Linked DNA regions of Caenorhabditis elegans. The protein of the gene in region 2 interacts with the protein of the main gene of each other region in a pairwise test. Each region holds a gene or a part of one and is shown on either strand. Other genes may lie near its edges.

Region 1 (14,881 bases), on a different chromosome or scaffold from region 2:
CGGAAAAAATGGAGCCGGAAGATAGAGCAAAAGGAGCACACTGTAAGCTACTCGGACATGTTTGGAACTCGTTGTTGGACACGTTGGAGATCAAAATTGCGACGCCACCAGAAGGAATTCCGACGAAGAGGCAAATAGTGGCTTTTAATGCCTCGAATTACGATCCGTGTGGATTGATGACACCGATTACGGTAAAATTGCGACAGCTGATTCAACAACTCTGGAATTTCAAATTGGAGTGGAAGGACAAAATTCCAGAAGAACTGATAAATACCTGGGAAGAAGTGAAGAGCCAGTTCACAGAAAAGGTATACGTCATTCCGAGGAAATTGTCAAGAAATATGGATTTCGAAGAAGTAGAGCTCATTGCATTTTCCGACGCTTCAAAATGGACATATGCAGCAGCGATTTATTTGAGATTCACTTATCCGGATGGTGCAGAGTCTTTCTTGGCTCTATTTAACATAACTTAGTATTACCATCTTATTCTGTGCCTCAACTTAATCGTTACAAGTTTGAATTCTTGAGAAAACTGTATTTAAAACCTATTACGGCCTTTCAAAACTCAAATATATAAAAACGGTATCTTCTTAAGCTTTCGTGTTTAGTTTCCAATACTTTCCTTTCAGTAAGGCTTGAAATTTTTGGAAGCTTCACTGCTAGTTTCCCACTTCACGATTTTCCAATTTCAACTTGTTAAAAACTGGCAAGATCACAGAAAAAGCCACACTTCCATGATAAAACCACAGAAAATTAAAGAAATTGGGCTGAATGTCTCAGATTTGGTGATTCTGGCACATGATGATTTCTCAAAACTTCAATTCAAAGATAAAATTGTTTGTGACCAAACCTTCATTTCTTATTTGACTTTCAGGCTATATATTTAATTATATTTCTTAATTGTCTTCAAATTTTTTTGAGATTTCCCCACTTTATTTAGTGAAAACAAAGATAAACTTCTTATTTTCTCAATTTTTCAATAAATTTAACCTTTTGCAGCAAGGTATTCTCTTTTTAACTGAGAAAACTATTTTAAAAATTCATTTCATCATCTTTCCTTTGCTTTCTCAAGAAAATTTCATAGAAGAAATGCATTTTTTCCGCAAAAATAATTCAATATTCAGAAGTGCGCCAGCACGCGACAGGCGCATCGGTGAAACGCGCAAGCAATCTCCCTCCCCCTTCGTTTCCACCCGAGGAGACCGTGAGCTACCAAAAAAATTTTTTGAAATTCGAAAAGCGACCAAAAACATTTTCGCTTCGAGACCCACGACTCCAGAAAAGTGCGTGCGCCTTTAAACTAATTGCCCTTTTAAAATTTTTTCAACTGATTATTGTGAATAAAGAAAGAAAATTTCTAGAAAAAAGGGTATTTAAGAAAAAAAAAACATAAATTACAGTAAATCAGAGATATTTCAACAGAAATAACAGATTTTGAAGAAAAAACACAAAAAACAAGCAAAAAAGGTTCATTTTCAGAGATCGTTCGGGCGAAATTCAGCAAATATTTATGTACATTCGAACTCATTTCGTCTGAGTCGACGCTACGGCTCTGGCGAGCACACTTTCCGGCAGTGGAACACCATTTTTCTTCATTTGCGTCGGCGTTGCTACACGGATCCATTTCACCGAATCCACGTGGATTTCTGGATCGGAGGGAATTGTGAGATTCTGGAAAAATTTGGGTTTAAATTGGTTCATCGAAAAGAAAAAAACCAAAAAAACCTTGATTTCTCGAAAATCAGGTTTCGCGATCGTCACGGTGTCGCCGATAACAAATCCGAAATTAGATAGGCAATTGTAGATTGTAATGCCGTAGACTTCGCCGGCGGCGTCGACACCAACAAGGGCACTGAAAATTTGAATTTAGTACTAAATTTAGTGGGTTTTGAGCTAGCCACTGCACCTTTTTCCTCACGAGGGACGAGGAAATGCGGTTTCTAGGCCATGGCCGAGGATCCGACAAGATCTATCGGCAATTTATTTTGCTTTGTTTTCCGCGTGTTTTCTTTCATTTTTCGATAAATATGCTGCTTAGATGCTGAAACTACATGATTTTCATAACGAGACTACTGAAAAAGTTGTGAGATTTTCAAAATTCAACATTTTGTGCGAAAATCTATACTTTTTCACCAAAAAAGTTGAATTTCGAAAATCTCAAAACTTTTTCAGCTGTCTCGTTATGAAAATCAGGTAGTTTCAGCATCTAAGCAGCATATTGAGCATGTTTCGGAAAAAGTTTAGGTTTTGTATTCCCGTAATCCATCATATTACATTGACCACTTTCACCGCTACTTGCCGACTGAATACATTTTTTTTGACTTGGAAATCGTTTTGGCATCTGCAAAAAATATTTGTTTATCAGTTTTAATAAGAAAAAACGGAAAAAAAATCGGTGAAAAACACAAGAAAATACGCGGAAAACAAAGCAAAATAAATTGCCGATTGAACTTGTCGGATCCTCGGCCATGGCCTAGAAAGCGCATTTCCTCGTCCCTCGTGAGGAAAAAGTTGCAGGGGTTTTGAGTAGCGTGGCAAATTTCTAGAACCAAGATTTTTGCGAAATCGCATCAAAATCCTACACCGGAATAGTCTCGTCGTGGCCGATATTTCCAATAATTTTGGCTCTAAATCCATCTGACGATTTCTTAAGCTCATTTATCATCTCCTGCATCCGCTTTGCCTTCATTTTTCCCTTCTTTTGGATGGCATCAGTAAATTTCGACAAATAGCTCACAAAACTCGCGAGCTTCTCTCTCGTCTCCAGCTCATTTCTCGGATCATACTCGACGGCTTTCTGTAGAACAGCGAGCGCCTCGTCGTACTTTTCCATGAATTTCAGACAAGTCGCCATATTAATATAAACTTGAGGGTCTGTTCGAGAAAGTTCGCATTCCAACGCTTTCTTGTAGTTTTCTATCACTTTGTCCAAGAACTTGAGCTCCACTTTTGCGGTGCTGAAGAAACAGTAGAAAAGGCCGGTGGCGAAGGCTATGTTGGCAGGCCCGTAGGCACTGTCAAGGCGTCGAGCTTCTATAATTAGTTCCATCGCTTTTGTGCTGAAAATTCAAGTATCAAACGCGAATTTTCTCAATTTTCAAACCGAATTTCTGCCTGAGCCGGCTCGGGATGCTCCAAGGCGACTAATCTCATTGCAACAGCCAGGGATGTCAGAATTGGAGCAGTTTTTGATATTCCGAGAGCAATCTGAATATATTACCTTTAATTATTTAAGGTTTTCAACATTTTTGACTAAAATATTTAAAAATACCTTGAAGCAGGATTGCGCAAACTCCAAATCCCGTCGTTTCATAACGCATAGGCCAAGTTCGTGCCAGGCGTCTGCATTTTTCGGGTCTAAAATTCAACAATTTTCCTGATTTTTCAGCGAAATTTCAAAGCCTCACTCATTCTAACAGATTTGCTGAGCATTTTCTCGGCGGTTTCATTGTAATCCTCCAGTACGTTGTACATTTTTCCCCCTTCCGCAAGTAAAAGTGCCTTCTGATTTGTGTCATACGCGCGGGAAGTTGAGATTATGGTTGGAAGGATTTCCTGGAAGAATTTAAAATTAAAATTGGCCGAATAATTTCGAAAAATGCTCCCCTCACCTGGATAAACTCCCCGCCTTTTTGAATAACCGCCGCCGCCTCCTCGTCTTTCGATGATGTTGGATAATTTTTGAAGTACATTCTTTTGAATATCTCCAGCTCATTTTTGTATTTTTCCATTATTTATTCGAACGAGTTTCTCTAATTTGCAATTCGATCTTGAAACAAAAAAATTCGAAAAGAAAATTGGAAAACCAATTTTAAAATCTTTGCTGCAACTACGGTCGACAACTGTGCAAACACCGCTGTGACAAATGCACTGAAAACACCATATTTCACGCGCATTGCGTATTTTGAACAATTTTCAATTTCTAGAATTTCTGCCCCCATTTTTTGTGATTTAACTTGATTTTCTTGAAGTTTCTCTTCAAAAACTTTACAATTAGCTTGTGGCAAAAGTGTTTCGTTCAAAACTTCACCAAAAATCTCGAAAAAGTGCAGTTTTCATCTTCAATTTTCGAAAATTTCAGCAAAATCACAAGATGATTATCCCAATCAGATGCTTCACATGCGGCAAAGTCATCGGCGACAAGTGGGAGACGTATCTCGGATTCTTGCAGTCGGAATACAGTGAAGGTTTTTAAAATTCTCGGATTTACTGAATGAAAAAAATCTCGTTTCTCTCAGGAGATGCTCTCGACGCGCTCGGTCTTCGTCGCTACTGTTGCCGAAGAATGCTTCTGGCTCACGTGGATCTCATCGAGAAGCTTCTCAACTACCATCCGCTGGAAAAGTAATCGGAGCCCCTTTCAATTGTTGTTGTTTTTCTGTTTTGTTGTGGCCGAATCTCAATTTTTACTTTTTTCCACCGTTTTTCCTCTTTTTCTTCACTAATTTCTCAAAATTTGATGAAACATTTGATTCAAGTTTGCTTTTTAAATTTAATTTTTGTCATATTGTATAATTGAGTTCACAGCTCATTCTTTATTTGTCCATGTGATGTGATTATTTTGCGAGAATTTGAGAATTTCCTAAACTACACCTCCTTCCACAAGTTTTCCTTCAAAAAGTTCCACGTGTCCGCTAGTCAGACTGTCTATCATTCTGACGTCTCTCATTTATCCCGCGCATTTCCTAATCTCGGTCATTTATGTCACCGAGACGGTCTGCGTTCACGACACTTTCTTATCGATTCTTTGTTTTTTTCTTCCAGAAAACCTCGTATACGGCGGCTTTGTCCATCGCTGACGGCGCTCCGGTGTGATCCGAGAAACACAGTTTTTGAGCAGCACAACTCCAACAAAAATGACTCGTGGAAATCAAAGAGATCTGGCTCGTGAGAAGAACCAAAAGAAACTGGCCGATCAAAAGAAGCGCCAGGGAGCCTCTGGACAAGACGGAAATGCTGTAAGTTTTCATTTCAAATTTCCAAATCACATATATATATCCAGTTGCAAATAAATATTCCAGGGTCTATCGATGGATGCTCGCATGAATCGCGACGCTGACGTCATGCGTATCAAGCAGGAGAAAGCGGCAGCCAAGAAAGAAGCCGAAGCCGCTGCAGCTGCTGCAAACGCAAAGAAGGTCGCCAAAGTGGACCCATTGAAGATGTGATTGATTAATTCTCACTTTTTTTTGATCATTTTTGTTTTATTTTATTCGTATTTAAAAAAACATCGTATGGGTTTCCCAAAAAAATGAATGCCTCTGTCTCCTTCTCCTGAAAAATGTATGATCACTTGGCAGCTCGCCAACCTAATCATTATCAGAGCCAGTTTCTGATTGTCTTCTTCGGCCGCCGCCTCACCTCATCTCTTCCTCCCACCCCGCGGCTTCTCTCCACAATTCTTGTGCTCTCTCGGGCTCTGGTAACTATGGCAACCGCCGCTCGTGAAAGCCGAGAGCAACTTCTTGCGTAACTAATCTCCTCGATTTCGACACCACACACTTTACCGCAAGGAAATGCGTAGAAAGTGAGAAGAAATGACCGAAAAGTCGTGGTTCGAAACTATTTTCTGCTGTTGTTGCCATCGTACACCTATTATCAGACGGTAATTCGATATTCTTAGGCTTATTTTTTTAAATGAAAATCGTTTGCTTGAAAGCATTTTTTATGAAATTTTGAAGATGTAAAACGGAAAATCCAAAAATGTTTCCTTATTCGAGGTTTTTTGGAAAAAAAATTATATTTAAAGTCGAAAATTCAGCTATTTTTAATATTTTCCGATCGATTTTTGCCATGAAAATATATTAAAAATTATTTTTATTCATTTATTTTATTTATTCTCCACTGATTTTCTTTTTTTTTGCGTTTTTAATGGAAATTAAAATGACAAAACAAGGTAATTGCAGAATGTTTGTTAAAAAATAATTGAAAAGGCGTAAAACTGTAAAATTATGATTTCCGACGACAAGCCTGAAATTAGTATATTTTACAGTTTTAGGCATTTTCAGTTACTTTTTAACAAGCATTTTGCATTTTTCTAGTTTATTTCTCGCATTTTCCGATAAAAAACACAAAAAAATGAAGAAAATAGGCCGAAAAATAAGAAAAATAAAATAAATAAATAAAAATAATGCAAGTGCGCTCCATCGAACAAGTTCAATTGGCGGAAATTCAAATAGGAATTAGGGGAAAACTGAGATTTTTTCAATTTTCAAAAAATCATATAAAATCTAGAAAAAATTTTTGAATTTTTTTATCATGATATTCGGTCATTGTGACGCCATATGCGTGTTTTAAAGCAATTTTCCCACATGAGAATTACACATCAACGAAACCCAGAAATTACAGTACTCTTTAAAGGCGCACACCGTTTTGCAATTTACAAAAATTGTCGTGTCGAGACGCAAATCCGCAAGTTTCCGCATCTGAGCAATATTTTTAGTTTGATGAATTCCCATAGATCGTGCCGAGACCCAATAGGTTTTTTTTCAGAGAAATCAAACTCGGATGTTTTGGCATCGGAAGCGCCGGAAAAACCACATTTTTGAAAGTTCTCAAGGGAGGTAAGCAAGTGCGCTCCGTCGCTCAATCCGAAATTATTTTAAAATTTGAATTTAATCCAGAAGATCCGCGGGATTTGCTCCGTACCAACGGGTTCTCCACAGTGAAAATGGAGTATGATGAGACTTTTCATTTGACGATCTACGATGTTGGCGGGGATAAGGGAATACGTGGAATTTGGAGCAATTATTATGCTGAGGTGTGTGTGTGTGTGTGCATGCGATAGGGCGCACTTTCACACTGGAGAATTTTTGAAAACTCTTATTACACGTGGATCTACAAAAAATGCGGGACTGATTTCGCATGGTTAAGAGCGTTTTGACGTCACATTTTTTTGGGAGAAAAATTCCCGCATTTTTGTAGATCAAACCGTGATTATTATAATTATTCTAAATAAATTAAGGTTCACGGAATCATCTATGTGATTGATTATTCAACGGATGAGACATTCACCGAGTCGATTGAGGTGAGAGAAGTTACGAAATTGATAAGGATTATGAATTATTCCTAAAAGTTATGAAATAAGATTTTTAGGCTCAAAATACGCTATCCGGTCTCGACACGACAACTTTTTGCAAAAAACTAAAACGGGTGTGCTCCTTTAAAAATTTTTAGGCAAAAGTACAGTAATTTCATTTACCGTATTTCTTCTATTAATATGGCCTCCCTATTAGACTTGCACTCCCTATTAGTATTGCTCCTTGAACACCCTCCGAAAATTAGTATTGCACTCCCTATTAGTGAAAAAGGCGGGGCCTAAATATGAGGTTTTCTGCAGTACACGCCACGCAGTTTTCTTATCTTGAGTGTAATATTGCACTCCCTAATAGTCTTGCACTCCCTATTAGTATTGCAAGCGGGAAGACCATCGAAAAATAGTATTGCAGCTATATTAATAGAAAAAATACGGTAGTTTTACAACTAAAACCGAGCCGCGATGCGACACGCAACGCGCCGTAGATCCACCCCAGATATGGCCGAGCCAAACTGGCCTAGTTCGGCAAACTCTTCCATTTCAATTTATGAGGAAATTCCATTAATTCCTAGGGAAGCCAGAAATTCGTGATAAAACAATTAAAACCACATATATTTTCGAAAAACTATGAAAAATCGGGCAAAGAACGTTTAAAACCACAGTAATCTTTAAAGGCGCACACCTTTTCGCATTTCACAGAAATTTGTCGTGTCGAGACCGGATACCGTATTTTCGGTCAAAATTTCAAGTCTCGGTAATAAATTACTTTTAAAAAATTATCATTCTCCAGGCTCTCCACTCCCTAACCAGCAATCCACATGTGCAGAAAAAGCCAATTTTTCTGCTCCTCAACAATCAGAACAATCGAGAATTTGATGACGTGGAAATTTCGAATGAAGTGAGTGACTTTGAGTGACTTAAATAATTTCCCGTAAACTGTCCCCGTCTTCTTCATCCCCCAGTGTTCCTTCTCTATCACGCAAACCTCTTTTCACAGACTAAAATCCAGGCGGGACAACACAAAATCGTACTTTTCTCGCATTTCAACAAGTATAACGGATATGTGAGTGCGCTTCAAGGTAGAAATTCAAAATTCCACCGATTTTCAGCTTGATAACATAAAAAGTGCCACATTGACGGTGATGGCGAGGGCGAAAAAGGATAGAAATGAGTATCAGGAGCAGTTTGTCAGATTCATCGATTCTGTAGGATTCCCATTTCATTTTCTAGAATTTTTAAAATTTTCCTTTTTTTCAGATTTCTGAGCACTATGTGGAATTATCCGAGGGTGTTAAAACCGCCGAGTTGGCGTTGAGGATCCGTCAGGAAGAAGCCAAAGAACAACGGAGACTGATGCAAATGAAAGTGGAGCACGATGCTTTGAAAGCCGACGTGGCTGGCCTGGAACTTCGGAACCAACCACCTGTGCAACCACCGATCCCGCCTGATCCTCCATCGGATCCGAAGTCCGCGTCGGTTCATATTGAAGAAAGTCCGCCGATGTCGCTTGCCAGCTCGACAATACCATCAGATATCATTCAGAGCACGCCTGAAACAGGAACTCCACGAGATCCTGTAAAGTGAGTCACATTAATTTACTTGAGAAATCCGATTGTTTCAGTTTTTGCAGAATCTCACAAACAAGCACGAAGCCTGTTTCGCCGGAATCTAACAGTGTTAAAGAAGAGCCAACTATCATTCTGAAAGACAACTATTTCTTGCCACCAAAAGCGCCTGGTCGACAATATAGCCGGATACAAAGGATTCAAAACGTTCTGAACAATCGAGTAGTGCCAAAATAACCTCCTTTTTTCACTTTTGAAGCCATAAACACTTTCTTGGTGTTGTTAACAGATTTATTGAAAACAAATAACAAGATCTTTAGTCGAAGAGACCGAAGCCCATGTCGTCATCGGATTCCTCCTTTGGCTCCTCCTTCTTCTTGGTCTCGGCAGCTGGGGCGGCTCCTCCAGCAGCTGGAGCAGCAGCGGCGGCGGCTGGAGCTGGTCCAGATCCGGCTCCGGAAGAGACAGAAGTGATGAGGTTCTGAAAACAATCGGGGTGAAACTTGAATATACTTATGAGAAATCCTTACCTTCACATCAACTCCCTCGAGAGCCTTGGCGAAGAGTCCTGGCCAGTATGGCTCGAACTCGACGTTGGCGGCCTTGAGAAGGGTAGCGATCTTCTCGCCGGTGATGGCGACCTCGTCATCTTGAAGGATGAGAGCAGCGTAGACGCAAGCCAGTTCTTGGTTCGAAGCCATTCTTCAATCGTAAGTTGCGCGGTTTGCCTTAGCTCCAAAGAGAACAAACGTTTGATAGAACGCTGAAAGAAAGTATTAATGCCACAAAGTGACCAGGGTAAGAAAACAATAAGATATGAAGCATGGGTAAAGACCATGTGAATAGAATTCAACAACAAGAACAAATTCAACTTGAAACATTGTTTTAATACAAGGTAACAACATGGCTTAAGCCACCAAAACACAAGCTCCTCCGGCCTTCTTGATCTTTTGCTCAGCCTCGTGGGAGAAGAATCTGGCTTTAACGATGAGTGGAGTCTCTGGGAGGAGTCCTTTTCCGAGAACCTGAAAATAAGAACAGTTAAATTTACGTTTCATAGTCATGAAAGATAATTGTCTCGAACCCAGAGGATGACATTTGTCGAAATTCAAGACAAACACCGAAGGAGATCCGAAAGCCGTTAGGCGCTACTTTGTCTCTCGTAACATACACAACCACATTCACCAGTGGAAGCGCCAAGACGAGAGAAATTCTTGTTTGACTTGTTTCAAAACACACCTTGAAGTATCCAAGCTTGGTGCAGTCAATGACTGGGGATTTGCCTCCGGTGGCCTTGTCGCGAACCTCCTGTGGGACAAGAGACCACAAACGCTCGACGTTGACGGTTGGGCAGTAGTGTTGGTTCTTGTTGAGATGGAACACTCTCATTCCAACCTGAAAATTAAAGTTTGAGTGTCAGATAATAAAGAACATATTAGATTTAATTGTCTCGAACCCAGAGGATGACATTTGTCGAGATGCAAGACAAACACCGAAGGAGATCCGAAAGCCAAAAGGCACTACTATCTCTCCTATAACATACACAGCCATATTCACCAATGGAAGCGCCAAGATAGGAGCGGATAATTTCCAACGAACTTTTAAAAAAGTACCTTAAAAATAATACCTTTCCGAAGTATCCAGGATGGTACTTGTCACGGTTGATACGGTGGTGATGTTGACCTCCGGCGTTACCGCGACCTCCAGGATGCTTCCTGTGCTTTCCAATACGTCCGTGTCCGTGCGAGACGTGACCACGGAGCTTTCTTGTCTTTCTCAACGCGTGAGCCATACCCTGTAAAGTAAACAATTTGAATGTGTAAAAGCGGCAAATTTCGATCGAAAATGGAGAAGAAAAATCAGAGAAAAATATTCAATGAAAGGTTCCCGATATTCTCGGATAAAATTACTACAAAAATACAAATTTTGTCTTTAAAGATAATTAAAATCGACCAGATCACACACTTTTTTCATTAAAACCTAGCGAAAAACCATTGAGAACAAAAAGAAATCCTAAAATATTCGCAAAAATTCAGTGAGTGTGTCTCCCAAAATCTGAGGTACGGTCACACTCGTTTGATGCGCATTTCGTGGCGAGACCCTCTCGATGAAATGCAGCCTCCCTTTAAACTCTTTTATTTTTTGCGCAACTTATTTCATCATTTAAATCGATTTTTTAAGCTAAAAAAGCAGAAAAGTTAGTTAAAATTTAATTAAATAATTTTGCAAATAAATAAGTTATTGATATTTTGTACTTTTTGATTCAGGCTCACTGTTATTATCGATTTATTCGTGGAGAAAGTCGAAAAATACTTTGTGTTGCATTATTTATAACATTCCGTAATTATTTTTGAAGTATTTTTTGTTTTCTAATTTTACTCGACTAAACTCACTTTTTCAATTTAGATTTCCTGACACCATTTAATTCATCCATCTAATTTCGTGATAATTAGGATTATTATCAATTTTGCATCATAGCTCGTTCATTTCTCTTTCTATTTCCCATTTTTTGTCCAAGTTATTAACTTCCATTTACCAGAATGGCTGCATCTGCACAGAAGCTTTTGGGTCGCTTGGGAACTGTCGGAGTGGGCCTTTCCATCGCTGGAGGAATCGCACAAACTGCTCTTTACAATGTTGATGGAGGTCAACGAGCAGTCATCTTCGACCGATTCAGTGGAGTGAAAAACGAGGTCGTCGGAGAAGGAACTCATTTCTTAATTCCATGGGTACAAAAACCAATCATTTTTGATATCCGGTCAACGCCGAGAGCCGTCACCACCATCACTGGAAGTAAAGACTTGCAAAACGTCAACATTACTCTCCGTATCCTTCACAGACCAAGCCCCGATCGTCTTCCAAACATCTACCTGAACATTGGTTTGGACTACGCAGAAAGAGTCCTTCCTTCCATTACAAATGAAGTTTTGAAGGCTGTTGTGGTGAGAAAAAATTTTAATTTAAATATTGCGAACTGATTTTGATTTAAAATTTGTTAAAATTAATTCCAGGCGCAATTCGATGCTCATGAGATGATCACCCAGCGTGAGGTTGTCTCCCAACGGGCGTCCGTGGCTCTTCGTGAACGTGCTGCACAGTTCGGACTTCTCCTTGATGATATTGCAATTGTAAGTTCACCAGATTTATGAAGTTTAAGCTATTTCCATGATTTTTCAGACCCACTTGAACTTTGGACGTGAATTCACTGAAGCCGTCGAAATGAAGCAAGTCGCACAGCAAGAAGCCGAAAAAGCGAGATACCTTGTCGAGAAGGCTGAACAAATGAAGATCGCCGCCGTTACCACCGCCGAAGGAGATGCTCAAGCCGCAAAGCTTCTTGCCAAGGCCTTTGCCTCTGCCGGAGACGGACTTGTCGAGCTCAGAAAGATTGAGGCCGCCGAAGAGATCGCCGAGCGTATGGCCAAGAACAAGAATGTCACCTATCTTCCAGGAAACCAACAAACCCTTCTCAACCTTCAATCCTAAATATCTCCGGTTACGTGTTTTAGACGAATTCCACTCATTTTCCCCTTTTCAAAGAGCCTTTTTCACTCTGTTGAACTTTCGAGAATAATCATGCCCGAATTCTCAATTAAATACTTTTTAAATTTCGTTTTTTTTGTTCTGTTTAGAGTAGGTCATTTCCTTCATTCATTTTGTGTAGGTATCGTAGCTTTTTCATTTTTTTTGCTTGTTTTTGTTGGAAATTTTCGTCTAATGAATAATTTGTTCGCGATATAATGAATTTGAAATTGGGAATTTATTAATTTTCAATGGTTGATTTCCCAAAATCATTATTTATAATTTTCTTATTTCTTTTCAATTTTCTTTTTTTTTAATGCTAAACTTTTCTTCTTCTCATTTCAGATGGCGTTAATGAAATGCCGTTTCTACGAGAATCAATTCCCCGATGTCGAGGAGACCGTTGTCGCCAATGTTAAAATGATTGCCGATATGGGTGCCTACGTCCGGCTTTCCGAGTACAATGATAAAGGTTTTTAAAATCATCATTTTAAAACAAAAATCGAATTAAAAGAGGACTAACGGTTCGGACGATTTTGAACGTATAGACCCAAAATGAGCTCAAATGAACGAATTTCGTAATGAAACTGCTCAAAAATGTTTCAAAAAATTTTTATGGCGGTTCAAAATTTTGAAAAATTACAATGATTTTAGCTAAAATCACGAATTTTCCCCTTTTTTCCGTGTCAAATCCTTCCTAAGTTAGCTTTTTTGGAATTATCGTCTTTTATTACATATATTGGTAGTTTATCTCATTTAATTTCGTTGATTTTTGGTTACCTATCGGCTTTAAATATACTTTAATCGGTAAAATTAAATGAGATAAACTACCAATATATGTAATAAAAGACGATGATTCCAAAAAAGCTAACTTAGGAAGGATTTGGCACGGAAAAAAGGGAAAAATTCGTGATTTTAGCTAAAATCAGTGCAATTTTTCAAAATTTTGAACCGCCATAAAAAAATTTTTGAAACATTTTTGAGCAGTTTCATTACGAAATTCGTTCGTTTGAGCTCATTTTGAGTCTATACGTTCAAAATCGTCCGAACCGTTCGTCCTCCTTTAAATTAAATCATTTTTCAGAGGGTATGATCCTGCTCTCCGAGCTCTCCCGTCGTCGTATCCGTTCAGTGAACAAGCTAATCCGTGTCGGCCGAAGTGAAAGCGTCGTCGTGATCCGTGTCGACAAGGACAAAGGTTACATTGATCTGTCGAAGCGTCGTGTCTACCAGAAAGACTTGAAACAGTGCGACGAGCGATTCGCGAACGCCAAAATGGTGAACAGCATTTTGAGACACGTGGCCGAGCAAGTCGGATACACTACCGACGAAGAGTTGGAGGATTTGTACCAAAAGACCGCGTGGCACTTTGATCGCAAAGAGAAACGGAAAGCAGCTTCATATGACGCATTCAAGAAGGCGATCACCGAACCGACGATCTTGGATGAGTGTGATATTAGTGCAGATATTAAGGAGAAACTCTTGGAGGACATTAGGAAGAAGCTCACCCCTCAGGCGGTTAAAATTCGCGCTGATATTGAAGTCTCCTGCTTCGATTATGATGGTATTGATGCTGTGAAGGCTGCACTTATTGCTGGAAAGAACTGCTCAAATGGAACCTTCCCGATTAAGGTTTCATTTTATAGATTTTACACATGGGCGCGCTTTTTTCTCGCTTTTTGCGTTTTTTGTTTAAAATTTCACGATGTCGCTCGATTTTGTCCGTTTTTTCGAAGAAAAAAACCAAGTTTTCATAGTACAGTTTTTACCCGAAAAATTCTCCGGTTAATTTCTTTTAATATTGTGAATTATTGTCATTTTTCAATGTCTTCTTTTATAACTTGTTGTATATTTATATGAAGAGAAAGCGAGTTTTATAATATTTTTCAGAAAGAGAGTTTTCAGCTATTTTTTAAACACAGTTTTTACCCGAAAAAATGCTTTTTTGTCTCTCTTTCTGAAAATACGATAAAACTCGCTTTCTCTTCATTTAAATATACAAATTATCAAGAAGGACATTTTAAAAATGACAATAATTCACAATATTAAGATAAATTAACAGGGGAATTTCAAATAATGTGCAAGATTTGGGTGATTTTTTTTCGGTTAAAAAATGTGAAAACTTGGTTATTTTTCATTTAAAAAATAGCTGAACACTTCTTTATTCGAAAAAAAAACGGCCAAAATCGATCGAAATCATGAAATTTTGGACAAAAAAAACGAAAAAAAAGGAAAATTACCGCACCCAAAAAGCGAGAAAAAAGCGCGCCGCAGGGTTGCGGCCGGAATCCCCGCCTCCAATAAACCACGCCCATGTGCGCAGTGCGAAATTGTTTTTTTTTAAATATTTAAAAAATAATTGTCTAATTCAGATCAATCTCATCGCCGCTCCCCACTTCGTCGTCACCACACAAACATTGGACAGAGAAGGTGGAATTGAGGCCGTCAACAGCATTCTGGATACTATCAAAAATGCGATTGAAGGATTCAAGGGAAAATTCACGATCAAGGAGGAGGCGAGAATTGTGACGGATATTGATGATGAGAAGAAGAAGGGTGATGGAGATGAGGATGAGGAGGAATCAGAGGAAGACGAGGACGAGGAAGAGGATGAGGATGATGTGAGTTTTGGAGTTTTTAAGACGATTTCAAGCATTTTTTCGTGATGATTTTATAATACATGAATTGGCAAGTAGAGCTTACACGTGATACTAATAATTGATAAATACATCAATTTCTGTTTTTACTGTACTGGCAC
Region 2 (16,650 bases):
GTAAGAGAGGGGCCAACCAATTAGCCTGAATCTCTTTCTCTTTTAGTTTAGTACTGATGATGGTGGTGATCGTGGTGAGTGAAAGAATACAAGAACAACGAACACAAACAATAAAACAGTAATTAGATTTTGAAACGAAAAAAACGAACGGAACAATCGAATTTCTAATTTCTCTCTCTTTTCTTTTCCTCTGTCACCTCATTTCTCTCATTTCCTCTTACTACTATGACCCCCCTCCCTTTGGGTTTATGCCCCGCCTATACACTTTTTCTCAAAGAAAAAAGATAATCCAGGATTCAAAAGATCCAACAGTTCCAAAAAGATTCAGAAGCATATGTAGCAGTGTCTGTAGACGCTTTCATCCTTTGACTTCCTTATTTTTTATCGGCCAGTCAAAACCAGACAAGGCGGCTGGGTTCATGTCAATTATGAACAATTTTCTATCCCGCTGCATCTTTCTCATTTTATATTATTTCCGAATAAAAACATCACAGTTCATTCTTCATGTTTAGATGATCGTCCATCTCATTATGCTTCTGCTCATGACGGTTTCAGAGCATTTTGTTACTGCAAATACACATTCAGTACTGGAACGATATGAAGAACGACTGAATTCCGCGTTATCCAGAAGGACTGGTGTCCCAAGAACTGTTAAAAGGTATATCAAATCGAAAAACTTTTTTTTTTTCAAAATTCACTGAACAAAATCCTACAAAAATCGAATTTATCTTTGGTAACTGTTCCCTCAAATTTATAGTTTTGTATAGAATTTTGTTTTAATTTGAAAAAACGTCAATCTAAATTCTTATAATTTTGTCAATTTTATTGCAGGGCAATAGTTGAAAAATTAAAACCATGGCAATTTCCGGTGTTTCCAAATGTTTTGAAACCAGGATTACCAAATTAAAAAATAACTGTATTTTTCTATTAGTAGTACTCCATCGCTATTATTTGGCAACGTATACGTACGTACTGATAAACTATAGTAGGTATACCCACCAAATATATTAAAAATTGTAGTAGTTTTGATAAAATCAAAACCGAGATATCTACTTTCAAAAAAAATCTTCAAGAGTAATAGAAAAAATACAATAGAAACAGTGATTTGTTTTGTTGCAAAATTTTTGAAGACTTCGAAAGATTTTGCTTCCAGTAACTGCCAATATTGACGGAATATTTCGATGTTTGCGTTTACTGTATTTTCATATCAGTAATGAAAGATTAATAGGAATTCCAAAAATTAATAAAGAAATAAAATTATATTGGAAAATACGGTAAATTAGATTAATTTTTATTTCACGATGCTTCTAATCGATCCACACTTTCTGAGTCCAAAACGGAAACCAAGAATCTATCCCATGTACAGAAAATCTCCTTTTTTCAATACAAACACCCAAAAACTAATCCCCGCCGGTATGTTTCAAATGAAATTGTTGAACCCTAGACTGCTAGCATTTTAATCGGTTACTTTCTAATCTTCCCCGGCTACTTAAGAATATAATTGCAGATACAAATGTGTTGAAGAATACGTGACTTATGATCAAAATGGTCGTGCAGTCACATCTTATCAGGGTAATAAGTTCACAACAACTATGGAACCACCGGTAAATCATTTAAATTTTAAAAATAAAACCCCAAATATGAGTTTCAGACATATCGATCTTCAGGAGACAGAGAGATTCGTCGGAAGCCATCAAAGAAGGTAACAATCGCGATTCATCGGAATTCGGAAGAAACGACAACTCCGGTGACTGTGACCTCGACGCAGAAAGAAGAAACTACAACAAAACCATTTGATGAAATGAATGATGAAGAAGCTGATAGACTTATTGAGGAAATGTATCTTAAGAAGAAGGTGAGTAGACAGGCTAAAATTATAAGAAAGTGGGGGTTTCACGGAGCTAAAATATATATATAACCTTCCGGCCGATATGCCGGACTCTTACCACTTCTTTGCTGTTTGGTGGGGAAAATAATACTAATTTTGCCATTTGGATAAATTTGTTAGAAGTTCAATTGTTCAATGAAAAAACGTTTGCGTGTATTTAAACAGAAGGTGTTAGTGTAGGCTTAAAGTAGGCAGATCTCATTGAAGGAAGATCTATATCGAAGCCCTAATACACAATTAAAAGTTTTATTTCTACTTCCTATCAAAGATTTTTTCTCGAAATTAACGGAATATTTCTTGCTATCATCAAAAATTGAAGTGAAAAGTTTGCGTATAGCTATCCTTATTAAACTTTGACCAAAATAAATCATTACATCACTATTCCGATTGAAACTTTTTCCCGATAGATATATATTTCTCCAAAAAAAACGGCTAGGTCAGATCAAATCTTATGATACGTCTAGACGTTCTAATTAACAGAATCTAGTTGATCCAACATCGCACATTCATTAATATTATCCATCACTTTCCTTCTTTTTTCATAAATTTATGATTAGGTTTCTCTGTTCATTATTTCAAAACATATATCTCCAAGATTCATTTGACCTATAATCAAAAACGGAGGTTTAACCATAAAACGATTCAGGAGAGTCATGCAACTGAATCACCGGAAGACTCCTTGAAAGTACCGGTCGAGGTCATCGAATCACGCAAACCTCTATCTCCACCTTCATCTTCTGCAAATGTGTCAAAACAACGGTCCTATACAACGTCATCATCCTCTTCGTCAAACTCAGCAATTGAACGATACAACAATCAGCAGAATAAAATGTAGAAAAAAAAGAAACTATTTAAATTTTTTATTAAAATATTTCAGAGGAAATCAAGATAATGAAGAAGATTATCCAAATTCAATGTATCACAGAGGATCACGGAAGAGGCCATATGATATGTCTACTTATGATGATTATGACGATATTCCATTATACAGACCAATGAGAAGAGGTTAGTTTAACTTGAATTCAAATTAATACTAAATTCTTATCGGAAAGCAATAATATAAATTTAAATCGAAATATGATTACTTTTAATTAAATTTAAACTATTTTTCATTACAATATGGTCTGAAAGATTACTTAAAGATCAAATAATCAACGATTTATGAAGAAATCGAACCTTGATGATCGATGTATCCTTTTATCTGTGATCATTAAAATATTTATCTCCGCGAAAATGTTGCAAAGAAGGAATATAGTTCAACCAACAAACATTTTCTCAAAATAATAAAAGCATGAAGTAGTTACTGAAATTTTATATCATACGAAACATGTTTGGTCATACCCCGAAGTTCAGGAAAATTCCAGTGATTGCTAAGATTTTTTTTCCAAATTTGAAATTAGGTAAAGTAGTTTCAAAAAAAAAGTTGTATGTTTACACTTTTCCAAAGTTATCTTAATATTCAGAATACCGAATGCGTCGCAGACGTCCGATACTCTTTTCTGATGACTTCTCGGATGAAGCTGGTTTCGATCAACAAATCGGAAACTCTGATCGTCATCAAACAACACGAGATCTTTCTCCATTAAGATCAATGAAACGTCTTCGCCATCAAATTCCATATAATCAACCATACCGAGTACCTGGACCAATGACTCTTCCAGTCTCTTCGACAACTAATATGCTTCATCGTCCAGTTCCATTGCCCGGTGCCCCACAACCAATGAGAATCCCGCTTCCTCCGGGTGCTCCGATGCCAATGCCATTGGCTCCACCAGGAATGGCTTTACCACCTTCCCAACCAATACAACCTGTTCAACAACAAGTGGGTCATGATATTCTTAAGTTGAAGCCAATTCTACAATCGAATCCTCAAGAAATGCAGGAAGCTACCGCAGAGAGTTGTGCAAAAATAACAAAACTGGCCAAGAGTTTTAGTATCAAAGATGTCTCGAAATGGGCGAGAGGCAACTGTCCCTTCCTGCAGGTAAATTTTAAAATATAGAAATCAAGGCTGCCACTACAGGTAGGCATTTAGGAGTGACTACGTGCCTATCTGTTACGTATTTTTGGTGCTCTTTTGTGAATTCCTGTTGTTGGTGTTACAACAGAGACACATTTAATCAAATCACTTTTTCACAATCATGTTAATTTTCCTTATTTGCAGATGTATGCTCCAAACGCCAGCTGTGAACTCATATTCCATTTTATTGATTCTTGTAAAAGCAAGAAATTCTTCTAAACTATGACTTAATTTTTCTCAAAATGTTCTCTGTTTTCTTTGCTCTTTTAGTTTTGTGCTCATCCTACATTTAAAGACATTTCCAACCCATACGGGATCATCTCATTTTATTTATTTCCACAATTGACACTTTTGTCGTCAGATTTCTAATTTATTGTTTCAGGTTCCTCTCCTTTCCACCAAAAATGTATTATTAATATTATTTTAATAATTTATTCGCATTCATAATCATTTCATCAAATTATTTAATTACATTACAAAGTTCTCAAAACAGAAGATTCTAATAAATAATTGAATTAAAGATTTTAGAAAAGCATTCAAGAGACTGGGAATTTTTTAACCAAAAGAAATGAAAATTAAAAACTGGGACAGAAATGGAAATATTAATCAAACGGGTACGCATTCGAATGCTTAGAACCAATCATTGAAGTGAAAATATTGAAGCAATCATGATCGGGATCCTATTTCCGGCCGTTCGTTATTAATACGGAAAACCTGAAGATTATTAATGGAACTTTAATTACTTGAAACAATTTTGTGTGTTATTTCAAGTGTTTAAATTTAAATTCAAATTCAAATTCAAAATGGTCTCAACTATGCCATACACTTAACAGTTAATTCCATTACTAGATCATATGTTGAATTTTTTGTGTTTTTGTTTTAATGATTGAAATAGTCATATTTTGTTTAATTATTTTATAAATAGAACCGGATAAGACAAATGTGAATATAATTATTAATTATTTGTCTTTCATGAAGTTTTTTAATTTATCTATTTATTTCGGAAACAAATATAGCCTTGATTCACCGAAAGAATCCAGGTGGCTAAAAAATCGATTCTTTAATCTTCAATGGAGATACTTTAAGCCTATACAAAAATTGCTAGCCAGTAAAATTCAGTAGTCGGCTCAGTGGTGTACAACATTTTCAGAGATCTTGGGTATTTCAGCTGCAGTTGGACCGCACTATCGGAAATTGTGTTTTAATATTATATTTTTAATTTAGGAAAAATTACATTAAAGTTTAAAAACTCACTGTATCATACTCATCAGCTGGCTCATGCAAGATAATTTCAATCCAACACGGTAAATTCACAACTTTCAAACGGGAATACGTTTCTCCGAATCCTTTACAGAAAGAGACTCTGATGTTGGAGAAGATTCTCATTCGTTCATCAGCCACCTCTTTTTCAGTTAAAGGTCCGAGAGCCAATGTTTTCTCCTGTTCAAACTGCTCCTTATCGAATATTTTCATTCTTTTTTGATCTCCTTTGTTTTGCAACCGAAACACATATTTCAGTGGCTTATTCAATGTCTGGTTCAGGAATGGGCATTGTACAAAAACAATTTGGTCAGTCAGTACAGTTAGCCAAAGTTCTCCATTTTCATATGCCAATTGAATTCCTGCTCCAACTGTGTTTCGGATTTGTGAGCTTTTTGAATTTCTCGAAGATGGTTGAGATGTAAGCGACATTCGGCACTCATCACTTGCTCCAGTTGCACCATCGATTGTAATTGTTGGGACTTTGGCTTCGAATGCTTTTCCTAGCTGAAAATATATCATTGTTATGCTATCCGTTTTTTGAAATTCTTTCTCAAATAATTTTGAACTTACTCGAACAGTCAGCTCGTAGTAAAATATGGTACACCACGGTTTTTCTTCTTTTGGATATTTGGGTTCAGGATCCAACATCTCGTTTCCAGTAGGACGTACTTCAACTACTGCCTTTTCAGGAGTTTTTGGTTTCAAAGAAGATTGGCTTGAGCTAAAAAAAGAGGTATGTGAATGTGTATAACTTTCAAATAAACGTACATATTTGAAAATGGAAACGGATCATTATTTTCATCAGTTGATGTTGACGGAACATTATAGCAATCAGGCATTGGAGCATCTTCCAACCAGTCGTTTATTGGCATGTTTGGATTATTGATGCTTGCCGGTAAGTGAACTTGATCTGTAATTTTTGTATATCAGTTTGAACAATAAAATAAAAGCTCAATTCCAAATGTTAAATTAGTCAGAAACTTGTTTCCCAAGTGATTGTGATCACGGTGACTCATATGGATGATGAGGGACTTAAGCTGGATAATTTTCGTTTTAGAACTTTCTGATTCATATTAAATCATATGACAAACCGGAAATAAATCGTCTGAAAAACATCGAAATCATACGAAATATTTTTAAAGATATTTTTCATGTTTATAATTGTTTTCTAACAAAAAATTGAAGCATATTTATATTTTATGTGATTTGAGGCATTCTGAGATCAGGAACTGAAAACGTCTGTTTTATAAATATATTTTTTGCAGTTATAGCCACTTCTGTCTAGTTTTCCAATAACTTTGTCATGTCTACAATTTGACTCACCTGGGTACATATAATTCCCCGCAGCCGCCCAATTTGTGGGTGTTGTTGTAGTTTGAAAACTGAAAAGTCGAATATTTAAAACGAGTTAAGAAAAACACAAAACAACAAGGAAGTCGGTTGGCTTTGATATTAATACAAAATGAAATAATTATGAGATAATGAGATCCTATAAGGAAGGGATTATCTAAGGATTACGAATATGAGGGTTGTTGGTGAAATTAGCTGACGTGAAAATAGAGAAAAAGTCAATTGAGTGCATAATAATGCCAGAATACCTATAGATAAGAAATAATGACGTCGTATTAGAGGTTTTGAAATCGGTTCAGTTAAATTTTTTTGCTCTCTATCAGCATGCTATAGAAGGAAGATAGTTTTGGGATATTCATTTGATAAATAAATATAAAAATAAATGTACTGAAATCATTCGATTTTCTAAGTGAAAAACACAAAATCATTTAAAAAATATGTTCACTTTTTCTTCAGGTCTAGTTTCCTTATTGTCAGAGTCTAGCAACGTGTCGTCATAACAGGTGTATTAGAAGAAATTAAAAAGTCGACTAGACTTGTTATAGGGCAAGTCTCACGACCTTAGATTGTTATCTCTCATAAGAGTGTACGTGAAGTTGCCAGACAGGTGCTGTCTCGTTCTTGAAAAAAGTGTATTCAACTATATATCTAATGTTAGATAATGTATGATGCGGTAAATTAAATGTTGCTACTTAACTTTTTTTCATATTCGGGAACGAACTATGGTTCCTTTTTAAAAACTAGATCTGGCAGAATAGAACCAAATATAGAGTTTTTGAAGAAAATTGAAATAAATATATGTATATGAGTATTGGAAACAGATCAAGAACTTTCACCTTTGTTGACGTCAGTCATACTCTTTCTTTTTGGAATTGCGCTCGTTTCTGACATCAGTTTATAAAAGTCGACGGTTAAAAAAATAGTATTGGAACTAGAAGAGACGTGAGAAATATTTTGAGAACTAGATAGGAAAAACGAGAGAGGAGAGGAGCGAGAGTGAGCGTTAGGGTATGTATGTGTGTGTTTTCTGTCACAACAAATGTAAGTGAAAGGAGGAAAGAAATGGGAAAAAAGAGAGAAAAAGAGAGAGAAGAGAGAGAGAGAGAGAGAGAGAGAACGGAGAGAAATAGAGAACGAATATACTCAGAGCATCGGCAACACGTGAGCTTCTGCTCCTAACAGGAAGAAAAAAGTTGGAGTGAGCGCGTAATAGGGAACGATAGCACGTGATCGATAAATAGAAGGAAATGGAAAAAAAGACGAGGTTGAGAACGTCATCTGAATTGTATTTTCAATGACGACTACTTTGAATGAATAAGAGAAATGAACAAAAGAAGGTTAGGGAAAGATGACAAAAGGTTCGTTATTACCGTTCGGAAGAAGAATAGTTCGAGGAGGGGTAGTTACGAAATAAAATTCGAAATATTTTTAGTTACCCTCTGAAATTTTAATTTTTTCATCTTTCCAACAAATTAATGTTTTTCAACATTGGAAATTTCATTGAATAAAAATTAATAAATTTAAAAAAATCGATAAAAAAATCCATACCGAAAACCCCTAAAATAGTGTGACTCTAGAACACTGCAACGTGGCTCTGTCTACAAAGTGTGGTCCATCTGTTGCGCTGTGCTCAAATATTTGCCGATTGCAGGAAAAGAGACGAGAACAGTAACACGAAAAGGTCAGATAGATCAAGAAGATATTATTCGTTTATTGGGTTAAGAGATCAGATTCATAAAAGGCTCGTAGAGATAAACAAATTATCATAATTTTCGGCTTTAGATGTTTGTTTGATTGTGCCTGTTGGAGTCTAAACTTCGAATTATTTACAAAAAATTTTTTTTGAAAAATTTAAAAAGAGAACATTGTGGTTTTTTCCCTATTTTTCATCAAATTTTCCTGAATTTCTTGGAATATTTGGGGACTTCTTTCATAATTTTTTAAAAATTGCTAGGAATTGCAAATTGAGTAACAAACCACGATACTGAACTTTTGGGGAAACTTCAAAATGTAAATGAGGAAAAGACAGGGGCAAATACAATAATTGTGTTTTGATTCCGGTGAACTCAAGAAGAGCGGGTACGTTGCAAACTACGAGAAAGAGAGGTATTTATTGTTTCCGCCCCAGGACATCCGTTGTAAACTTTTTGGTTCAAAAGATCAAGACACAGAAATGCGTAGACAGGGCGGAGAGAGAAATATGCATCTTGTCTTATAAAAGTCGGAACGAGTCAGTCAGGTTAACAATATATTTCCATCTCACTGTCTACGGGGGAAGTGATAGTGTGCTGGACAAATATAAAACTTATTTGGTTTGAAACGTTTTGTTGAAGTTACTGATATAACTTAGTGGTGTTGCCTAATAATTGGAACATTCTAGGTTTTTTTTCAAGCCGAGAAAACAGTTCAATTACTTGTTTTTTGTAAAATTGAGTTTAAAGTTTCAATAGAGTAGAGCAGTCCAGAAAAGTCAGACAGATTTTTGAAATAAAAAGCTTGAATCATCAAAAATAGCTTCCAGTTTGTAAAACCCTGTCAACATTGGTATATATATTGGACTAAAAATAGTCAGTCACCTTTAATTTACTTTTGTTATAAGTTTACATAACTAAAATTGCATTGAAAAAAGTTTTGAGCGACTTTTATAATAGTTTGTTAACAGCCGGGAGTTAGGAAACTATTTGACACGGAAAAATTACAAATTATTTTTCATTAAAAAACAGAAGTAAACATAATTGAATGTGACTATTATCGGAAAAATCACGTGGTGTCAGGCTGTTCCATGTCCCATATGATCTACAATAAATGCGGGAATTGAGACGCAGAGACAACTGTTATTGCACGGTTAAGACATCTTGACACATCGTAAAAAGTACGATTATAAATGTTATCAGCATCACCCGTTTAAAAACTTACTTACCCAAACTCGGCAAAATCGTCCATGATTCCTAACTCTCCTTGGTTGTTAAAAAGTGATCCAAAATCTTCTTGTTCGTTGGACATTATAAATGTTTCTGCAAAAAAATGTGTGTTCGAAACAACAAATCTCCAAAATATAAACGGAAGGGTGCCGATTTATGGATTGTTTGAATAACAGGTAACAAATCAAACATCTACTACACAATTTTTGCACTTTGAATGAAAAAGTCAAAAACAATTGTGTGAAAAGCGAGACTTTAGATGATCAAGTCACATCCAAAAGTATATAGAAAGAGTAGAAAATGAGCAGAAAAACATAGAAACGCAATGACTCCATGGTGATGGTTTTATGTGAAGTGGCGTGACTAGGAAGGGTTCAATATGAGACAAATAAATACGAATTGACATTACTAAACGATGCACATCAGGTTGTTAAGCCAGTAATAGACCCAATTGTACCTTTAAAAACGACTAGAATTTTGATCATAACAAATTATTCGATAGTTGGACAACCCTCGATTGCAAATAATTTGGATCCAGTTTTGAAGATTCCCTGTAATTCAGCAAAATAATATTCTGTCAGATTGAGATTAATGGTGGAGCTTGGCCAGTAGAGAAATGATTAAAAACCACAGAAAAAGAAAAATGAGAAAAGTACATTGGTAATGTGAACGAAAGTTAAACGTTGAAAAGATAAGTTTATTTGACGATCAAGAAGATATTGAAATGAATGATCACGAATGAAATGATACCTGTTCGATTGAAAGTATTGTTTGAATTGTTGAATAGAATCTCTATGAAAGACTTGACACGTTCAATCGAAACTCTCATATTATACATTCGACAGAAAAAACAATTTTTGGTCCCTTGCAAATATTTAATTTTATTTGCAGTTTTGCAAATTACGGAGATGAAAACTGTCCTTATTTCTTCAAACAGTTTCGCAGATAATAACTTATTTATTATATATTCATCAGTATTCTTTTCTCGAAATGTACATATAAACCGGTAACTAAATATCGATATTTCTGTTTTTTGGTAACTTTGTCATTCATCACAATGGTCCACGTAACGTTTTTCCAACAGCTCCTCTGACAAGACTTCCTGCGTATTCCTCGTCAAGTTTGAAATATGTTGAAACTTTCAGATAACGATCGTGGAAAGTTAATCTGAAATTATAATAAATTCATATTATAGAGCTCGTTTCAAACTCACTTTGGACTCTTCAGAATTACACCTTGCATGGTTGGCAGAGCAATTCCCATTTGAAGAATTTCAGTGAGAAGCTTCTCTAAAAATTCAGCACCAAATAATCCCAAGTCGGAAAATGAATCTTGGTCGACATCGTTGATTTTTGTTTCAAGGAGCTGAAATATGACAATTTGATTAGCACCTCAAAACTGAAACATCCAGGCCGGCTTCCAAAAAAATAAATTGGTGACAATTTTCTTGGTGAAATATCATATAATCGCATTCAAGTCTTACCCAAGTTCAAATTTTTCCATCTTTAACCCAAAATGTTTTAAACTAGTGTGGAAGATTGGGATAGATTGGGCCTATTTACATTTTACGTAACCTCTTTATTTTACAATTTTGAGCTTTCTGGTGATTTTAAAGGCCTATTAATAATTTACGTTTCGATTAAATTACCATTTGTAAAAACACATAAAAACATATAATATTTGGCGTACGTCGTACGACTTGAAATTACATAGCTTCAGTAAGAATGATTCATAGATGATTGGATGAAACATCTCACCTTAAAATCCAAATTTTCAATCGTTGAGTTTCCAACAATAATTGATCCATTGATCCACAAGTTTACGTTTGCAGTCATTGTCGTGTCAGCTTTTAGGATCTTTACGAAAATAAAAGGAATTTCTGTTTCATAGAATCAAATAAATCAGTACCTGCTGTTTAACTTGATTTGGCTTCGAAGGTCTTACGTACATATTAAGACCTCCATGGAGTCTAAACCGAGACCTATCATCAATGAACACAATTAGTGGAGCCTGAAAATAAGTGTGTCAAATAATTAGGATCGTATATTAGGTAACCTACTTTCTTTGCGAAAAATTCAATTTCAACTTGTCTATCCGGGAATTGTTCTCCAAGTGTACCAAGGAACTCTCCAAGACAGAAACCAGCAGGACCACAACTTGTAAGCAAAAGTCCTTGAAGCTGTGGAGAACTTTCGGGTCCAACTGTGACGTCAAGGAACTTTTGACGATATGAATGATACAACATTGAATTAGCCAGATAATCACTTGCATAGAATTCAATCATATGAACTCCTGAAATAAATTACTTTTAGAACGGCAGTTGAAATAATTCATACCATGTGGAGGTGGAATTCTAACATTTGGTGGAAAGAAGGGAGTTCCACCTTGACCTCGATATGAGATTTCTCCCTTTGACATCATATTTACAGCACCATTTTGTACAAATGGAGCTGTCAACATTTGATAATCCAACACTAACTCCTTATCACGAAGCCGTTGTACGAAATGGGTCAAGGTGATATTCTTGGCATTCAGATTTGATAACTTTCCAGCCCGATGATGCTGAAATAAAGGTCGTTAAAATCAAAAGAAAACAGTTTGAAAGTTGAGCATTCGACTCTAAATTTTCTACTGTAACTCAAACATACTAAATTATCCGATAATTAGACAATTTTTCAAAATGTTGACTGATCTAAAAAAAATTTAAAGTACTTTTTAGTTATAACTATAGGTTTCATGGCACATTTTGAGTATATATTTCAAATACAATACAATTTATTATTTTTTTTGTACACCTTCAAAATAATTGGATTCAATCTGAAAATACGTGACAATATCAACTGGCAACTCATTGAAAGCCTTGTAAAAGATTACCACATCGCTGTCAAACAGATGGCAAACTTTTTTCAAACTTTCTTGTTTCTAATTTCCCTACACCCATGCAAATTTTCTAGCATCAGTTTGGTAATTCAATCATAAGGCTTCATTTGAGCTATCGATTGTCGTGGTTTTTTACGACTTTGAGCCTCTTGATCAACGTTTAAAATATATTAATGAGACATACCTCACCTTTCTTGGAGCAACTCCAAATGTTTCTCCGATGATGTCCAAGTTGTTCTCATTGATTCGAATCTTTAAAATATTCAAAAGTTTTCAGAAAGAAAATTTGAATTTACTCACTTTTAGGGGCATGTTGGATAGTAAAATATTCATATCTCGATCAATAATCGATTCAATCATTTTACACATCTTCTGTTCAACTTGTGGTTTGAAGTTTCCAATCAAGAATGCTTAAATGTTTGATTTAAATTTTATGTTTCAGGGATCAACTTACCTTTAAACGCGTTGATAAAGAAATCAGTGATAACTCCAGTGTTTCTTACATTCAAATCAACATATCCAATTGCACTTCTGCATCCAGTAGATCTTACTTGAGGAGCTCCATTTGCATTTCTAGAATTTTCTCGTTTCAAAAATCAAAATTTATCAAAACTCCCTTACCGTTCCATATTAACAGTAATATACAAACTAATGTGACCTAAAAGAGCTTCAAAATGCCCTGTAATTGGTACGGTAGGCAACAGAAGAGGACTATTCAAAGTGGCTTGAAAGTCTCCAGCAGCTCTGAAAATTAATGTAGAATATCTAGAACTAGTATAATATTATTTATCACCTCAAATGCATCTTGCTCATGCTCCACGCAAATGTACTTGGTTCAGACATATCCAATGCATATTCCTGTGGAGCCCAGTACTTGCTCATTTGAAGATTGTAAATTGAAACCTATTATATAACATGTTTTATTGTAAGATTATCGATAAATCTAACCTCTCCATTTTCAATCGGTTCTCTAATATTTGGCAGTTGTAATTTAAGAATCTGCTCATTGATCACTTTCATTCCAACTTCTCTCAAGTAAGCTAACCCGTTTGGCATGATTCGAAGGTAGATACCCGGGTTGACAGCTGAGGTGTTTTTCTATAAAAAAAATGAATATGTTGATGAAGATTTTATGAAAGATTAGATTTTTAATTTCATTTGGACTACGGTAAAACAAGTGTTTCACTGAAGTCACTGAGATGTCATATTAAATTGATATATGCAACATTGTTTCTATGGTGTCAAATGCAGTTTTTTGTTTCATTAAAATTTGTTACTTTGCTGCCAAATTTCAAAAACTATCAATAACGAGATCTTGCGATAATTTTTTTAAAAGTACAGTAATCTTCAAAGGGCACTCTTCGCATTTCGCAAATATCGTATACCGTATTATTTTTTTTGTAGATAAAGCAAAACTTCGCGTTTCATTCTTTCAATTTTGAAATGAGCCTGGAGAAATAAGCAGGTATAATCGTGGTATGTGAAAAAAGGGTCTGTCCAAAAAATTTAAATGTTTCAAAATATGAAATGCCACAACCATTGTTTTCCAATCAAATCGATAAAGATCTGCCGAACAGATAATAAATTTGATAAGCTTACATCAAGAAGTGGAGAATAATCCCGAGTGATTTCTTGTCCCGATGAAAGCCATGGTACACAGAATCCAAATAATAGTAGAACTCTCATAACTGGAAAAATAAATAAAAACTCATTTCATGTTTGCATACTGCTAGTAACGTTATATAAATATAAAAATTGAAAACTTTGGTCTTTATTTGAAAGAACCGTCTAAAAAAGAGAAATCCTCATATCAGAAATATTGATCAGTTCCTAAAAAGAGAAATCATGAAATTGAAAGGAAAATGAAAAAGTGAGGAGCGGAAAGAGGAAAAAGACTAAGAAGCCGTGAGTGTTCATCTTCTGTATCGCTTATTCTCAGAAACGACAAGAAGATGTAGATGAGAAGTGTATCAATTCGGGTACCGAACAGGTTTCGATCCCCGTCATCGCCTCGCCACAAAACATCCAATGCCCGCGAAACGGCCTTCTTATTGTCTAGACGCGTGCGAGAAGCTTATACAAACTGCGATGCACCTTTTTTTAAATTGTTTCATTTTGCTGTAAATTCACAACCATTTCAAGTAAACATAAAGGAAAGCTATATAATACTATAATACGAGGCATTAAAAATACATTATTGGAAGTTCTTGACGGCGGCAACGATGTGACGAGCAGAGATTCCGTACATGTCCACGAGAGCATCTGGTGGTCCGGAGCGTGGAACTTCCTTGACATTCAATGATCTGACACGAATCGTTGGATAATCAGCGAGAGCAGCGGAAACAGCTTCTCCTATTCCTCCAGCTGCGTAGTGGTCTTCGGTAGTAACAACTCGTCCTCCAACTTTCAGAGCGTGCTCGGCGATGGTCTTTCCATCCAGTGGCTTGATGGTGAATGGATCGATAACAGTGGCGTGAATTCCTGAAAACATAATTTTTAGTTTCAAATACAGTTTCTTTTTGAAAATAAAACTTTAAAAAGTAAAACGTAACAAAAAAAACAAACCTTCTTTCTCCAACTCCTCAGCGGCCTTCAATGACTCGTACAAAGTGACTCCCGATCCGACAAGAACAATTTTATCTTGGGCTGACTGCTTCACAACCTTGGCTTGTCCAATGTGGAATGGCTCTTCATTGTCGTAGAGAACTGGAAGTGCGGGGCGGCCGGTACGAATGAAAACAACTCCTTTTGTGTTGGCAGCCAACTCTGTTGCTCTTTCAGCAGACACGGCGTCGGTTGGGTAGAAAACAGTTGCTCCTGGGATAGTACGGAAAATTGCAAGATCTTCGAGAGCCATTTGACTTGGTCCATCTTCTCCAATTGAGACTCCGACGTGAGATCCAACGCATTTGAGATTAGCAAATGAAACAGCGGCCATACGGATCTGATCAGTGGCTCGGGTGAAGAATGCAGCGAATGTGCTGGTGAATGGAATTGTGCGGTCACGGCATTGCGCTCCCACAGCTACACCGACAAGATTCTGTTCGGCAATGAAGCACTCAATGAATTGATCTGGGTGCTTCTTAAGAAGTTTGTCAGAGAAAGTAGAGTTCTTGGTATCTCCATCAAGACCAATGACACGTGGACTAGCATCTCCAAGCTTAGCAAGTGCAGTTCCGTAAGCGGCTCTTGTGGCGACCTTGTCTCCCTTCTTGTATTCTGGGGCAGCCATTTTGATGGATCCAACATGGAGATCAATAGCAGGGGCGTCATTGATTGGCTTTTGAGCAACGAGCTTTCCCTTTTGGCTTCCGTGGAATCTAGCCTTGATGGCATTGACCTGAAATTTTTAATATGAGACTATTTCATTCTCACGTCAAACTTACTGTTCCCTCTGGGACTGGCTTTCCATGCCAATTGTCCTCGTTTTCAATTCCTTCGATTCCTTTTCCCTTCAAAGTCTTGGCGATGATGGCGGTTGGCTTTCCCTTGGTGGAACGAGCAGTCTCATATGCGGCCAAGAGCTCATCAACATTGTGTCCGTTGACAATAATGGCATTGAATCCGAAAGCGGCAAAGCGAGCTTTGTAGGTCTCTACGTCATGTCCAAGAGAAGTGGCTTGACTTTGTCCCAGTCTGTTGACATCGACAATAGCAACGAGATTGTCGAGCTTGTAGATTGAAGCAAAAGCAGCAGCTTCCCAGACAGATCCTTCAGCAGATTCACCATCTCCGAGAAGGCAGAAGACGCGGTAGCTGGCTTTGTCAATGTACTTTCCGACGTAAGCCATGCCAGTGGCAACTCCAAGTCCTTGTCCGAGAGATCCTGTAGCAACATCGATGAAGTTCAAGCGAGGAGTGGGGTGTCCTTCGATGTCCGAGTCGATTTTGCGGAGAGAGAGCACTTGCTCATGGCTCAGAAGACCGGCCTCTTCCCACGCAGCGTAGAGAATTGGGCAAGCGTGTCCCTTGGAGAGAACAAAACGATCGGCAGATGCTGATTTTGGCTCTGCGACATCGTACTTCATCTCCGAGAAGAACAGAGTTGACATAATCTCGGCTGAAAATGTTGAAATTTATCGGATTCGAGTAAATGTTGAATAATTCTTACCAGCAGACGTAGAAGACGTGGGATGTCCACTTTTGCTTGCGCAAGTCATCTCGATCGAGGAAATACGCATGCGGTTGGCAGCGTCTTCCAAATCATTGCGAAGTTGCTCCGAAACGGTCATTCTCCTGCAAAAATAATGGATTTTTGGGAGAATGTTAAAATTTTCAGAATAAGAACGGCAAAGAACATTCTCGAAGAAAATAGTGAATCGTCGGCC

Evidence for each region.
Region 1: the proteins of daf-14 (region 2) and arl-13 interact in a two-hybrid assay, tested with the Caenorhabditis elegans proteins (one study listed by BioGRID).

Annotation. Positions count from the first base shown.
Region 1 is NC_003279.8:2,060,212-2,075,092, forward strand, and holds arl-13 (ADP-ribosylation factor-like protein 13B), read left to right. Parts: upstream 1-5,506; 5' UTR 5,507-5,537; coding exon 5,538-5,605; intron 5,606-6,492; coding exon 6,493-6,563; intron 6,564-6,623; coding exon 6,624-6,760; intron 6,761-6,964; coding exon 6,965-7,027; intron 7,028-7,826; coding exon 7,827-7,934; intron 7,935-8,033; coding exon 8,034-8,099; intron 8,100-8,145; coding exon 8,146-8,241; intron 8,242-8,293; coding exon 8,294-8,616; exon of another isoform or gene 8,617-8,657; coding exon 8,658-8,838; 3' UTR 8,839-8,883; downstream 8,884-14,881. Other genes in the region: ttc-5 (Tetratricopeptide repeat protein 5 OB fold domain-containing protein), read right to left, coding at 1,525-1,671, 1,726-1,852, 2,583-3,059, 3,104-3,207, 3,272-3,357, 3,408-3,555, 3,612-3,731; rpb-10 (DNA-directed RNA polymerases I, II, and III subunit RPABC5), read left to right, coding at 4,094-4,187, 4,239-4,348; moag-4 (Modifier of protein aggregation 4), read left to right, coding at 4,857-4,958, 5,022-5,168; rplp-1 (Large ribosomal subunit protein P1), read right to left, coding at 8,918-9,082, 9,132-9,302; rpl-27A (Large ribosomal subunit protein uL15), read right to left, coding at 9,510-9,626, 9,841-9,996, 10,229-10,393; phb-1 (Mitochondrial prohibitin complex protein 1), read left to right, coding at 11,142-11,543, 11,613-11,729, 11,779-12,087; eif-2alpha (Eukaryotic translation initiation factor 2 subunit 1), read left to right, coding at 12,478-12,595, 13,208-13,755, 14,496-14,744. UniProt on the Caenorhabditis elegans protein: Cilium-specific protein required to control the microtubule-based, ciliary axoneme structure. Required for normal sensory cilium function. May act by maintaining the association between IFT subcomplexes A and B.
Region 2 is NC_003282.8:10,243,520-10,260,169, reverse strand, and holds daf-14 (Smad-related protein daf-14), read right to left. Parts: upstream 9,544-16,650; 5' UTR 9,525-9,543; coding exon 9,442-9,524; intron 6,554-9,441; coding exon 6,495-6,553; intron 6,082-6,494; coding exon 5,940-6,081; intron 5,893-5,939; coding exon 5,742-5,892; intron 5,676-5,741; coding exon 5,163-5,675; intron 4,623-5,162; coding exon 4,575-4,622; 3' UTR 4,318-4,574; downstream 1-4,317. Other genes in the region: F01G10.9 (aECM cysteine-cradle domain-containing protein), read left to right, coding at 513-658, 1,508-1,604, 1,652-1,855, 2,535-2,719, 2,766-2,893, 3,352-3,872, 4,053-4,127; F01G10.10 (BPI2 domain-containing protein), read right to left, coding at 10,495-10,609, 10,656-10,807, 11,200-11,298, 11,351-11,452, 11,502-11,734, 11,779-12,004, 12,512-12,574, 12,623-12,732 and 5 more; tkt-1 (transketolase), read right to left, coding at 14,517-14,803, 14,888-15,662, 15,709-16,382, 16,434-16,554. UniProt on the Caenorhabditis elegans protein: Probably an atypical receptor-regulated SMAD (R-SMAD) that is an intracellular signal transducer and transcriptional modulator activated by TGF-beta-like daf-7 signaling.